Linked DNA regions of Neurospora crassa OR74A. The main gene of each other region encodes a partner of the protein of the gene in region 2 in a complex. Links are inferred from orthologs where the notes say so. Each region holds a gene or a part of one and is shown on either strand. Other genes may lie near its edges.

Region 1 (6,117 bases), on a different chromosome or scaffold from region 2:
AGCACCAGCAGTAGCAGATTGCAGCAAGGGCAAGGAAGAAGCAACGGCAACAAGAGAAGCTACAGCAGCACTCCTGGTGGCTCCCCCCCTCCTAGGGACACGAACAAGATCAGCTTTTGGCCTTTTGTGGCGCTGATTGCCTTGACGTCCGGAGGGTATATGTTGTTGGTTAATCGGAGAAAAGGTGAGTTGTTTTTTTGTTTATTTGTTTGTTTGTTTGGTATAATCTGGGGGTTAAAAGATAAGAAGAAGAAGAAGAAGAAGAATCTTAGAAGAAGAAGAAGAAAGGTGAAGGTGGAGAGGGGTAAAGCGTGGTACTGTAGAAACAGTCAGTCAAGTCGAACACCGACCGACGGGAGACGCACGTGGAAGCAGCAGTGCAGTGGGAATGCAGGGCAGCGAAGGAAGGCGGAAAGGGCAACTCAAGGTCCAGTCGCTCTCTTAACTCCCTGCTGCTGGCTGCTTTGCTGCTGCTGCTGCTGCTGCTGCTGCTGCTGCCGCCCTGCGGCTTTGTCAGACGAGACAAGACGAGACGAGACGAGATGAAACGTCCGACACAACCCACCACCTACCTAGAGGTAGTTCCTAAACTAAGTGGAAAGCTCACCACCACTTACCTCTCTACCTACCTCCCTATTTTACCTACCACCAACATATAAACCGTCCTCAAAACAACAACAAAGCTAACCACCCCCGATCACACACCTAGACATGCCTCCCAACCCCACCTCCTCCTCCTCAGCCGCGGCTGCTCCCGCTCCCGCCACAACCACAACCCCCGCCTTCTCCCCCTCCGACGTAACCGTCATCTTCGTCCTCGGCGGCCCCGGCGCCGGCAAAGGCACCCAATGCGCCCGTCTCGTGCGCGACTACGGCTTCACCCACCTCTCGGCCGGCGACCTACTCCGCGCCGAACAAGACCGCCCGGGTTCCCAATACGGCCAGCTTATCCGGGACTGCATCAAGAACGGCGCCATCGTCCCCATGGAAGTCACCGTGGCCCTTCTCGAGAACGCCATGCGCGACACTCTGGTCTCTGGCAAAACCAAGACAGGCAGGTTCCTGATTGATGGCTTCCCGCGCAAGATGGACCAAGCTGTCAAGTTCGAAGAGGTCGTTTGCCCTGCGAAAATGGTGTTGTTCTATGATTGCCCGGAACAAGAAATGGAGAAGAGACTGCTGGAAAGAGGCAAGACGAGCGGGCGTGAAGATGATAATGCCGAGAGTATCAGGAAGCGGTTCAGGACGTTTGTGGAGACGAGCATGCCGGTTGTGGATCACTATGAGAGGGAAGGAAAGGTGGTCAAGGTGGATTCGACGCCGGGGCCGGAGAAGGTGTATGAGGAGACGAGAAAGCAGCTGAGGAGGGTGTTTGGGGATAAGTTTTAGTTAGTGTAGGGGGGGGGGGGGGATTGACTTGACTTGTCTTACTCCGGGGATGGGATGGGGGGTTGAGGTAAACTTGGTTTCTAGGTACTAATTCTGAGATGGGGTTGGCCGTTCCATTAGATAAAAACTTTTAAAATACTATACACTACTACAGATTTATTGGAAAGGGACGGAGCGATGGAGTCGCGGAGGCGGTTCGTGGATGGATGGGGATGGTTTTCTCCCGTTTGGAAATTGAACTTGCTCTGTCTTTTTCCAGATGTCGAGATGGCTTGGTATTGCGTTTATACTATTCATCGTTGGGAAGCCTGAGCATGATGATTCATTGTTCCCTTTGCTGCTGGTGGTCATAGACCTTGTCTCAAAAAGCATTGATATTACGCTTCCGTTGCCTTGTATATCCTGGGTATCATGATCTATACTCCACCTTTCTGGATTTGCCCTCACGCATCATATCATCCATCACTGATGTATAAATGGAGAGAGAAAACCTGATGATTGCTGGATATCTAAAGCTGCCATTCCTCGGAATGATACAACAACAACAAAAATGCAAATCCGCCAAAAAGTGTAGCAGCTCTACCTTGAAAATAGTGTTCCGTATTTTTTTGGGGCTCACAACTCCTTGATAGATAACAACAACAACCCGTTTTGATGTAGAATTCCTTTCCCATTCGAATGAACTGAACTGAACTGATGACCGAGCGGGATGATACAGGGGCAAGACATCGCTCTTTTTTCTTTTTGAAAGGTCCCCCCATATCTCTATGCTACTAACAACAACAACCAATTATTGCAGCAAAACATCCTGTTGGCAACCCCCCTTCAGTCATCATCATCCGTGCGTTGCCTCGTCTGTCTGGCACCGCCGGTACGTCCTCCCCGGTTGCCGCCGCGCTGCTCCGACTCGCCAAGACCGGCGTTGGCCAGCTTGCGCTCGAGCTCCTGCTGCTCACGCTCACGCTGGGCCTCGACATCGGTCTGGGCCTTGCGCACGACGCCGACGAGCCTATCGACGACCGTCTTGAACTGGTCGACGCGGGTGCCGAGCTCGCGCCACTGCTTCTCGCCAAAGACGCGGTAGGTGGTGCGGTGAACCAAGAACACCTTTTGCTTCTGTGACAGGCGGCCCTCGACCAGCTTGGAGCGGATCACGTCAATGGTCCACATCTCGACGTCCTCGTCGGGGATTTGGAGGGCCTTGGCGATGCTGGCGTAGGGGATCTCGCGGTTCGGGGTGCTGGCGGCGAGCGACGCAAAGGTGAGCAGGCGCATCTTGCGCTGCAGCTTCTCGTGGTCGAGCTTCTCGTTCTCGATCCATCCCTGGTGCTCGTCCCTAAAGTCGTTGTAGTCCTCGAGGTCCTGCTCGGTGAAGATGTCGAGGAGCTGCGAGTAGACGGGGTGCGAGTCGCTCAGGGCGTGGACCGAGGGGAGCGAGCGCAGGTCGTTGAAGTCGAAGCGGGTGGGCGACGAGATGGCCATGCGGAGGGCGCGGAGGGAGAGCTTCTGGGCCTCGTCGGAGGCGACCTCGTCCTGGTTGTCGCGGTCGAAAGTGGCCAGAGCCTTGAGGAGGTAGAAGTAGGACTCCCTGCAGACCAAAGGTTAGCATGAAGCCGTAAAGGTGCACAATGCATGATGCTATAAAAGGTAAAATACTCACTCCTGATCACCGCCGTCGTTGGCGGCATCGGAAACCTCGACGTAGAGCTTGCGCTGGCTCTCCGAGTCGGACTTCCATTCCTGGAGCCAGCCCTCGACGTTCTTTAACCTGGGCTTGAGGAGGTCGAACTGGCTGTTTTGCCTGATGAAGCGGACGATCTGCATAAAGACATTGAAGCGCAGCGGGTTGGACTTGTCGAGGAGGTTGAAGATGGTGGTGAGCGCATTGGAGGCCAGGGTGAAGCCGTGGGTGGGAGACGAGGTGATGGGCTTGAGAAGGTTGGCGCACAGGGTGGGCAGGTACTTCTTGGGCTCCTCGGACTGGAGGACGAGGTGGATGAGGAGGTTGTAGGCGGGGGTGAAGTCCTTCTCGGGGGCGGCGTTGAGGGAGTGGGAGGCCTTGACGATGAGGTCAAGGGCATCCTCGCGCTTGTCCTGCTCGAGGAGAGGCTGGACCTGCTCGCCGACCTGGACGAAGTCGGCCATCTCCTGCGCCAGCTCGGCGAAGGTGCCGTCGACGAAGATCAACTGGGGGGTAGCCATGTTGATGGGTGTTGACGGTGTGTGTGTGTGTGCGTGTGTGGTTGTTTGACGACGGGGCTATCGAACTATTCCCACTTGGACCTCAAGGCTGGAGTGAGGTCGGGTTGAGGCGAGACACACGGCGGGACGGAGTCAGGGACGGACGGGGGACACGGCGACGGGGAAAATATGGCCGGGGACAATCTGATAGTATGTCCTGGTGCTAAAGGTCGACACTGGCCGGAAACGATACGGATATCCTGTCAGACGTGGGAGGGAGGGGCGGGCCCCAAAGGAAGTTTTCTTAGTGGCAGGGCTCCGCTCTTTCTTTTTCTTTGCACAGTTCCTGGGCCTCGACTCGCTGAGTGGTGTGGTGTCCCTCTCTCATCCCATGGACGACAGAGACCTGACCGGACCCTCGACCCAATTTCTCAAAGCAAAAAAATGCCCCGCATTCCAATGCCAAGCCCACCGCCTATTTTTGCCCTGTGCTGAAGAAGAGCTGTTCTGTGTGCTCCAGCCAGTCACGTGCAGGAGCTGTGTCGATGGTCAGGGTTATTGCAGTCATCTGCTTGTGACATAGAAAACCCTGACCCATGGGGTGGTCCGTCCCAGCGAGGTCTTTGACAATGTCAAGCTCCCGGGCTTCAGTCCCTTTTCCTTTGCTTGTCACCGTGCGCTTGACATTGTCCCCAGCTTCTCCAAATCCGATCTTCTTAAAGTCACATTCCCATCCATGATTCTCTTACATGGATATCAACAAACGCACCTGATGAATAATCGAAGGATTCGAACTTGACAAATCCATTATCCAAGTCGAGATTTCTGACCACTCGAACAATATGATTTCCTATATGATGTGATGCACTCGATCGAGGTTCGCAGTTACTTGCCGTGGGCTGTGGAGATATCAACCACGGGAATGACGACACACCTTGATTGGAGTATTCGGCTGCATCAAAACAAAACTATTGAACTCGCTACATCATCGAATATTTTCTTTTCGACTTTTCACCATCGTATCCATCAGGACAAAAATGGGACTCTAGCCAGTTGCAACAGTCACCTTTGTAAGCTAGGTCACCTAAAACACAAACAGAAGCGGGAAGCAAAGAGGGGGTCACGGGGCATCCGAATCGGATATCCAGGCAGACACTTAAAAGTGTGGTGGTGACCCGGGCAACGGCCACCTTCCATTACAGCCTGAGGATATTGTATCAGCTCCTTCCCTTTTCCACTGACGTGATGGGAGTCTCAAAATAACAAATGACCGGCACGCCTGACAGCCCAGAAGGATGGTGAAGAGTCACAATGAACCCACAATAGATTCCCGAGAAAAAGAGTGATGACCAACCAGCCCTACGCTACTATGTATGCAATGCACATGGTGACATTCAACCAGGGCTGAGGGTGTGCACCGCCGAAAGAAAGTCAACAAGTGTACCTAGCGTACAGAGACAGCAACAGTAAACAAAGCCCCGTGGGGGTATAACTCAGATTGTATATACACGTGGATATTTCATAGAGCACTGAATAAAATCAATGTTGTCAACTGGATGCTGTTTCCCTTTCTGTGGATTTGTTGACTTAGACGCGCCAAAAGAGTGGAGTTATGGCGAGGCGCGGCGTGATTTCCAAGCGAAAAAGTGGAAGAAAGTGAGGAAAAGGGAAGCTTCCACTTGGGGCGCGGTCATCAAGGCCTAGGTTGTAAGGTAATGTACACTGTGAGTCCCTGACGTTGTATGGTTGCTTTCTGGTGGAGGCCCCCCCCCCCCCCAATACCTTAGCACTGCCCGCGGCCTATCCCAGTCCCTCGCGAACTGCACAGTAGCATCATTCAGTTCACTCAGTCAGTCATTCTCCCCAGCCCGGCGCCGTCACCACCACCACCACCACCACCCCATCTTTTTCCACTCTACTCTACATACAACCTTCCTGGAACACACCATCCCGCCACTTGATCATTTGAGATCCTCTCTTTTGAATCGAATCCTCAGCTCCGGCATTGACTGACCAACACACCACTCGACTCGTTGCCCTACAATCCCAGCAGCCATGGCTCCCCGAGCTGAAGGCAGCAGCACTCTTAAGAGAGCTCGCGTACGTCCATCCACTCCCCCATCCCATATGTCATGTCATGCTATGTCATGACTACATTATACCTCGAGCTTTTGATTAGGTAGTCCATGGCGCATTGCGTCACCACCAAGCATGCTCCGTCGACTAATATGCGCTTTACTTCAGGGTTCTACCGACGACAACGATTCCTTCAAGAAACCCCGTCGCTCCGAGCGCCTCTCCTCCCAGCGCACCGGCGACAGCCCCGAACCCAAGCAGAAGACGCCCCTCAAGACCACCAAACAATTACCCTCTCCAGTCACCCACGACTCCGATGAATTCCCACAGGATTCCAAAGAGCCCACTGCCACCCCTCCAGCCGGCCGTCCCAGCCAGCTGTCGCAAATCAGCCCTCGCCCAGAAAACCAACATTCTCAGTCGCAAGCGTCCCAGCTCAATGACACTCAAGCCTTTAGCCAGTTGCCCGAT
Region 2 (6,164 bases):
TAAGTCTTGTTCATACGAGAGATAGAGCAAACCTTTTCATCAAATACTACTCGTTTCGGGTTGGCTGTAAGAATACTCAGGTTGACATGGTGTACATTATACACAGGTTCAGACAATTTCCATATGATAAACTAACACATCATGAAGAAAATATCAAACGCGCAATTTTGAGTGAAGCTATGCCCGAACCAAAAACACAAATTAAACCGAGAGAACCTATGATTCTAGACTAAACTTCGCTGGGTCTAACCATGGGGCAACACATTCAAGGGGATAGCACCATTAGAAGACCTGGGGAATTGCTTTTTAGTCACACACCAAAGCCCAATGCAATAGCAAAACGAAAACCACCAATTTCCCTATTCCACAGAGCTTTAACCACGGACCGCATTACCCAGAGCACCACCAGTGAACTGTGTACCACCGGCCTGCCGTTGAGGGTTGCCGCCCGTCCTCGCGCCACCTCTGCCACCACGCTGGCCACCACCACGCTGGCCACCGCCACGGTTGTCCTTCCTGGAGAAGGCGTTGGCGGAGCCCTGTGTCTTCTGCTCGAGCGTACGCTCGTTGGTCTCAATAAGGGAGCTGGCCTTGTCGGAGAGAGTGAGAGCCAAGCTCTGGAGACGGCTGAGCTCAACACCCTTGCGGAAGATGACGGTCTCGGTGACCTGGTCAAGAGCAGCCGCGAGCTCCTCGTGGCTGATCATCTTGCTGACGACAGCAGAGACCTTGCGAGAGTCGAGCTCAAACATGGAGCTGAGGGTAGCAATGGCGAGAGTGTCGTAGAAAGGAGCATAGGTGAAGAGGTAGGTACGGAGACCCTCCTCCTGGATCTGCTTGGCGAGCATGGTCTTGATACCCTCGGTGTTCGGCATCAAGTCCCAGATCTTGATGCTGTGAATGAAGTCGGTGGCCTTCTTCCACTCACCAGCAGCAAGGGCCTTGGAGGCCTGCATGACGTGATCCCTGGTGTTCTCCGGAGGCCCGGTAAAGATCTGGCGTTCATGGTACTCGAGCATACGGCGGTAGGTCTTGCTGATGATCCTCTTCTTGACATCGGGCGAAGAACCGGTTTGGGCGAGCAGAGGAATCTCGAGGAGCATGCTGCAGGTAAGGTAGACGCACTCAAGGAGCTCGAGGTTGATGTGCATGTGGAAGGGAAGCTGGCGCTGCTTCTCGAGGCGCTCCTGCTCAGGGGTGACCTGGCTGTAACGCTGGATCATGACGCCCTGAGCAAGAAGCTCCTTTTGACGGCCACTGCCGCAGATCTCCTGGAGGGTGTTCTGGGCGTCGTAGACGAGACCCTTGCGGAAAGCGCAAAGGCCGACCTGAACGAGGGTGCGGTTGTAGAGAATCTGGGTGGCGATGTCGAAGTTGGCGATAGTCTCCTGAAGATGGGAAGTGAGCATCAGGTCGCGAGACTTGTAGTACTCATCGTGCAGAGCCAAGAAGTAGATCTGGCAAAGCATGGCACGGGCGCGGATGATGCCCTCGCTGTTCTCGAACAGGTAGTTAGAAAGGATGTTGATGAGCTTGCCAGCATCGCCGGATTGGCTGCGGGGGGTAATTTCAGAATCGGCCTCAGCAGAAACCTGCTTCCACGCGTTCTCCTCGAGGATCTTGACGACTTGGGCGGGCTGAAAGAAGATGATTAGCAAAGACGGCTGAGTATTCCAGCATTAGCTCTATACATACCTTGTAGTAAACATGGTCCAGACGCCTCTGGATGATGCGGTTCAAGCTCTCCTGGGGAACCTCGAGGGAAGCATCCTTGCGGAGGTGCTCGTAGTAAAGAAGACCACGGAAGATGGTGTTGTAAAGAGAGCCCTCATCGGTTAGCCTGTCGATGTACTCAGAGGTGTGAGGATCGATGGCTTGGAGGGAGCGGGTGAGCTCGTCATCGAGACGCTCAATGAGCGAGACAACGCTGCCGGGAACCTTGAGGTACTTCTCACCCTCGGGGATGGTGGGGAGCTTGTCATCATCATCCCACTCCTCAGCGCCCTCAACAACAACATGGTCCTTCTCCTTCTCGAGGATCTCCAAGAGAGAGGCAAGGTCACGCTCAGCGGCCTTCCACTGGTCCAAAGGCATCTGGGCGGCGCCACCAGCACCAAGATCGAAGCGGGCAGAAATAAGGGTCTGGAGGACACGGATCTTCTGGTAAGGGGTAATGGGGACGACCTTGTTGAGGGTCTCCATAACCTTGATCTGCTCGAGGCGGTCGGTGTTCTTCTTGCCGCGAGACTCGATAATGGCGCGGAGGTGCTTGAGGATGCTCTCGGGGGTGTACTGAACAACCTTGCCGCGCGAATCGACCGTAGAGAAGCCCTTGTCGTCCTCTTCCTGCTGCTCAGCACTGACGACGGGAGCCTCGAACCGGACCTTGGAAACAACCTTGGGCGCGGCAACCTCATCATCCGACTCCATGAAAGCGTCCGCATCCTTCCTGTAGGCATCGATCTGGGTCTGGTACTCCTTATTGTTCTTGCGGATGCGCTGCTTGACGGCGTTGAGACCACGGGCATTTGTCGCGTTCATCTTCTTGGGAGTGACCTTTTGCTTGGCGAGAGTCTCGTTCATGAAGTCCTCAAGATCGGCAATGGCCTTGATGTAGGACTTGGGCGCCTTGCTGCCATCTTGGAGCTTGACGACCTGACGGTTGAGCTTGTCGAATTCTAAAGCGGGGAGGGGAGTAAGTATCGGTGCAGGACATATCGAGGGTGTATGCATGCATGAAAGATATACGAACCGTTGGCGATAAGACTCCAGTCGTTGATCTTCTGGCCGTTCTGGATCTGGCTGATGGTGGACTCGAGTTCGTCGAAGCGCTTGTCCTTGGCGCTCTTGACCTTGGTGGTGGCTTCATCGTCGCTCTGCTCTTCCTCCTCCTCCTCGGACTCGTCGTCGCTCTGCAAGAAACGGGAGGCACCCTTCTTCTTGGTTCCTTCTTCCTCGTCGCTGCTGGACTCCTCGTCGCTCTCCTCCTCGTCAGACTCCTCCTCAGACGAAGACTCGTCCTCGGCCTGAACCTTCTCCTCCTCCTCCTCCGAAGTGTAGACCTCCTCCTCCTCGGAGCTGCTGTCGGTGGAGCTGTCGTCACCGCCGCGGAAGAAACGAGACATGGTTGCGGTCTCTTTCGATAGACTCGGAATAAATATGCGGGTTCCGGGGGTATGGGCGCGATGCAGAAGTCCGGGTTACCGGTATGGGTACTTGGAGTGGTGGACGGAAGTGGTGATGGTCCGGATGGTTGGCAAAGCAAAACCCGGCTGCGGCGAGGCGGACAGAGGGGTCAAAGAATTAATTTTCACTGAAAGGCCGTTTTGGTGGGGGCGATTTGGGGCTTAGCGAATCGAGCGGAGCTGTTTGGGCCTCGAGCGCTGTAATGATTGGGTATGACTTAATCCGAGCAAGGGGTGTGGGGGGAGAGGATACTTGCTCCGCGGGGGGGAGGCTGAACTTATGAGCTGAATGTACCTGCTTCCGCTTGGAGATCGCAGGACGGGATTCCTAGAAGATGAAGATAAGGTCTGAACCTTGCAGATGTTCGCATGAGGGATCTGTCAGAGGAACGGGTTTTTGTGTATACTTTGGCGAGCGGAGCGAGGGAACAATATCAAGCATTGCTTTGTCAGGCCTTCACTATGAGATTCAACACCTGTCGTCTGGGTACTTGGGCGCAAACAGCCAGCCAGCTGATGCCCCACCTTCAATGTATCAGCTACCTGAACTGATAATGTATCACTATACTCGGTTACATGCATCTGAGACGTGCTGTGAGCTTGTCAAGCCAGATCTACCACGTAACGGGGATTGCGTATCGAAAGTTACAGTACGTAACAGGAGACGTTTCGCCACGAAGTCGAGAAGTGACAGCCCAGCCTGCCCAGTCGCTGCAGGCAACCAACCCCAGGCCCTCTTTCACTAACTGGAGTGGCGGGGACGCTACCGGGCTGCAGCTGCCAACAAGCACCTGCACAGCGAAGAATCCCGCTGCCAGGTTTCCCGTTTTGCGCGCCAGGACCTGGACCGCCCGCCCTGACCTCTGAACTTTATCGACCGCCCACGCAGCTGTCGCGAGGCTGTTCAAGTTTTTCGTAACGAGGCCAACCTGCCAACGTCAACGCCAGCATCCTGGCGCCACCAAACCACACTTTCACGAATACAACATCCACCTCTCCATTCTCAGCTTGATCGACCATCGCCGCGATTTGGTGCGAGGTCGACCTACGCCCATTTCCATCTAAAACCAATGGGAATCTAATATTTGCCAGTCCTTTTTTCTCTTCCTCAGCGAGACAGGCCTTGGAACGACGCACGCGGACTGCAAACCGCCATCGCGCGGACAGGCGACTTCACGGTATCCAGCCTTCTATCCATCTCGTCGCCAACGCCGACTGGTACACGCTTCTGACGAAGACGATTACAACGAAACAACCACATAAACGTCAACAAAGCTTCATCAAGCAGAAATCGAAAAAATGTCCTATCCGCCACCACCACCTCCTCCCCCCGGCTGGGGCGCTCCTCCGCCGCCATCAGCACCTCCGCCGCCGCCGCCTCCGTCCTCTCTCCCACCTCCTCCTGCCCTCCCAGCACCGCCGCCGCCTGGGTTCTTTCCACCAACCGACCCTCATGTTGCCAAGTTCGCCCAGAAGAAGAAGGAATGGCTTCGCATGCAGAGAAATCGCTTCGGCGAGAAGAGGAAGGGCGGATTTGTTGAGACGGAAAAGGCCGACATGCCACCAGAGCACTTGCGGAAGATCGTCAAGGATATTGGGGATGTTTCGCAGAAAAAGTACACCAGTGACAAGCGCAGCTATCTTGGGGCGCTCAAGTTCATGCCCCATGCTGTGCTGAAGCTGCTCGAGAACATGCCCATGCCTTGGGAGGCTGCCAGAGAGGTCAAGGTTCTCTATCACGTCAACGGCTGTCTGACCCTTGTGAATGAGATCCCGAGAGTCATTGAGCCCGTCTTCTTTGCACAGTGGGCCAGTATGTGGACGGTAATGCGCAAGGAAAAGAGCGACCGCCGGCTATTCAAGCGCATGCGATTTCCACCTTTCGACGACGAAGAACCGCCCCTGTCCTGGTCCGAGAACATCGAGGACGTCGAGCCACTTGAACCCATTCAGATGGAGTTGGATGAGGACGAAGAAGCAGCAATCTATGAGTGGTTCTATGACCACAAGCCGCTTCTCGACACGCCCCACGTCAACGGGCCCAGTTACAAGAAGTGGAATCTCACCCTGCCGCAAATGGCGAGTTTATACCGTCTAAGCCGACCGTTGGTGTCTGAGGTTGTCGACAAGAACTACTACTACCTCTTTGAGCTCAAGAGTTTCCTCACAGCAAAGGCCCTGAATGCGGCTTTACCAGGCGGGCCTCGCTTCGAGCCACTTTACAAGGACATTGACCCCAATGATGAGGATTTTGGCGAGTTCAATGCTATGGATCGCATCATCTTCAGGAACCCTATCCGAACAGAGTGCCGTGTAGCTTACCCCCATCTTTATAATGCACTTCCGAGAAGCGTCCAGTTGTCAGTCCACTCATACCCGCAAGTTGTCTATACGCGCACAGAAGACTACAACCTTCCCGCTTTTTACTTTGACACGAGCATCAACCCGATTTCTTCGCGGGCTGTTGCCCCCAAGAACCTTACAGTCAGCCATGAAGATGAGATCTTTGGACCTGGCAATATCGAGGAGCCGGAAGAAGATGCGTTTGAGCTGCCCGCTGGTGTCGAGTCTTTCATGGCCGAGGAATCGCTGTATACGGATGAGACGGCATCGGCCATCGAGCTTTGGTGGGCGCCGTTCCCCTTCGACCGCCGCTCTGGACGTACGGTTCGTGCCCAGGATGTACCTCTCGTAAAGCATTGGTACTTGGAGCACTGCCCGCCGAAGCAGCCCGTTAAGGTGCGCGTCTCGTACCAGAAGCTTCTCAAGAACTACGTCCTCAATGAGCTGCACAAGAAGCATCCAAAATCTCTTCAGAAGCAAAACTTGCTGCGGACTTTGAAACAAACAAAGTTCTTCCAGCAGACAACGATCGATTGGGTTGAAGCCGGCTTGCAAGTCTGCCGACAGGGCTTTAACATGCTCAACCTGCTTATCCACCGCAAGAACCTCACATATCTCCATTTGGACTACAACTTC

Evidence for each region.
Region 1: NCU07831 (region 2) and NCU02813 share a complex: the UniProt entries of both Schizosaccharomyces pombe proteins name them as parts of the eukaryotic translation initiation factor 3 (eIF-3) complex. The link is inferred for Neurospora crassa OR74A from reciprocal best matches to the Schizosaccharomyces pombe genes tif303 and tif313.

The regions. Positions count from the first base shown.
Region 1 is NC_026501.1:9,033,613-9,039,729, reverse strand, and holds NCU02813 (eukaryotic translation initiation factor 3 subunit M), read right to left. Parts: upstream 4,048-6,117; 5' UTR 3,592-4,047; coding exon 3,050-3,591; intron 2,978-3,049; coding exon 2,215-2,977; 3' UTR 1,760-2,214; downstream 1-1,759. Other genes in the region: NCU02812 (uridylate kinase), read left to right, coding at 1-184, 710-1,389; prd-4 (serine/threonine-protein kinase chk2), read left to right, coding at 5,626-5,670, 5,815-6,117. UniProt on the Schizosaccharomyces pombe protein: Component of the eukaryotic translation initiation factor 3 (eIF-3) complex, which is involved in protein synthesis of a specialized repertoire of mRNAs and, together with other initiation factors, stimulates binding of mRNA and methionyl-tRNAi to the 40S ribosome.
Region 2 is NC_026503.1:1,003,084-1,009,247, forward strand, and holds the start of NCU07831 (eukaryotic translation initiation factor 3), read right to left. Parts: upstream 3,433-6,164; 5' UTR 3,126-3,432; coding exon 2,753-3,125; intron 2,679-2,752; coding exon 1,696-2,678; intron 1,638-1,695; coding exon 375-1,637; 3' UTR 1-374. Other genes in the region: NCU07832 (pre-mRNA processing splicing factor 8), read left to right, coding at 4,485-6,164. UniProt on the Schizosaccharomyces pombe protein: Component of the eukaryotic translation initiation factor 3 (eIF-3) complex, which is involved in protein synthesis of a specialized repertoire of mRNAs and, together with other initiation factors, stimulates binding of mRNA and methionyl-tRNAi to the 40S ribosome.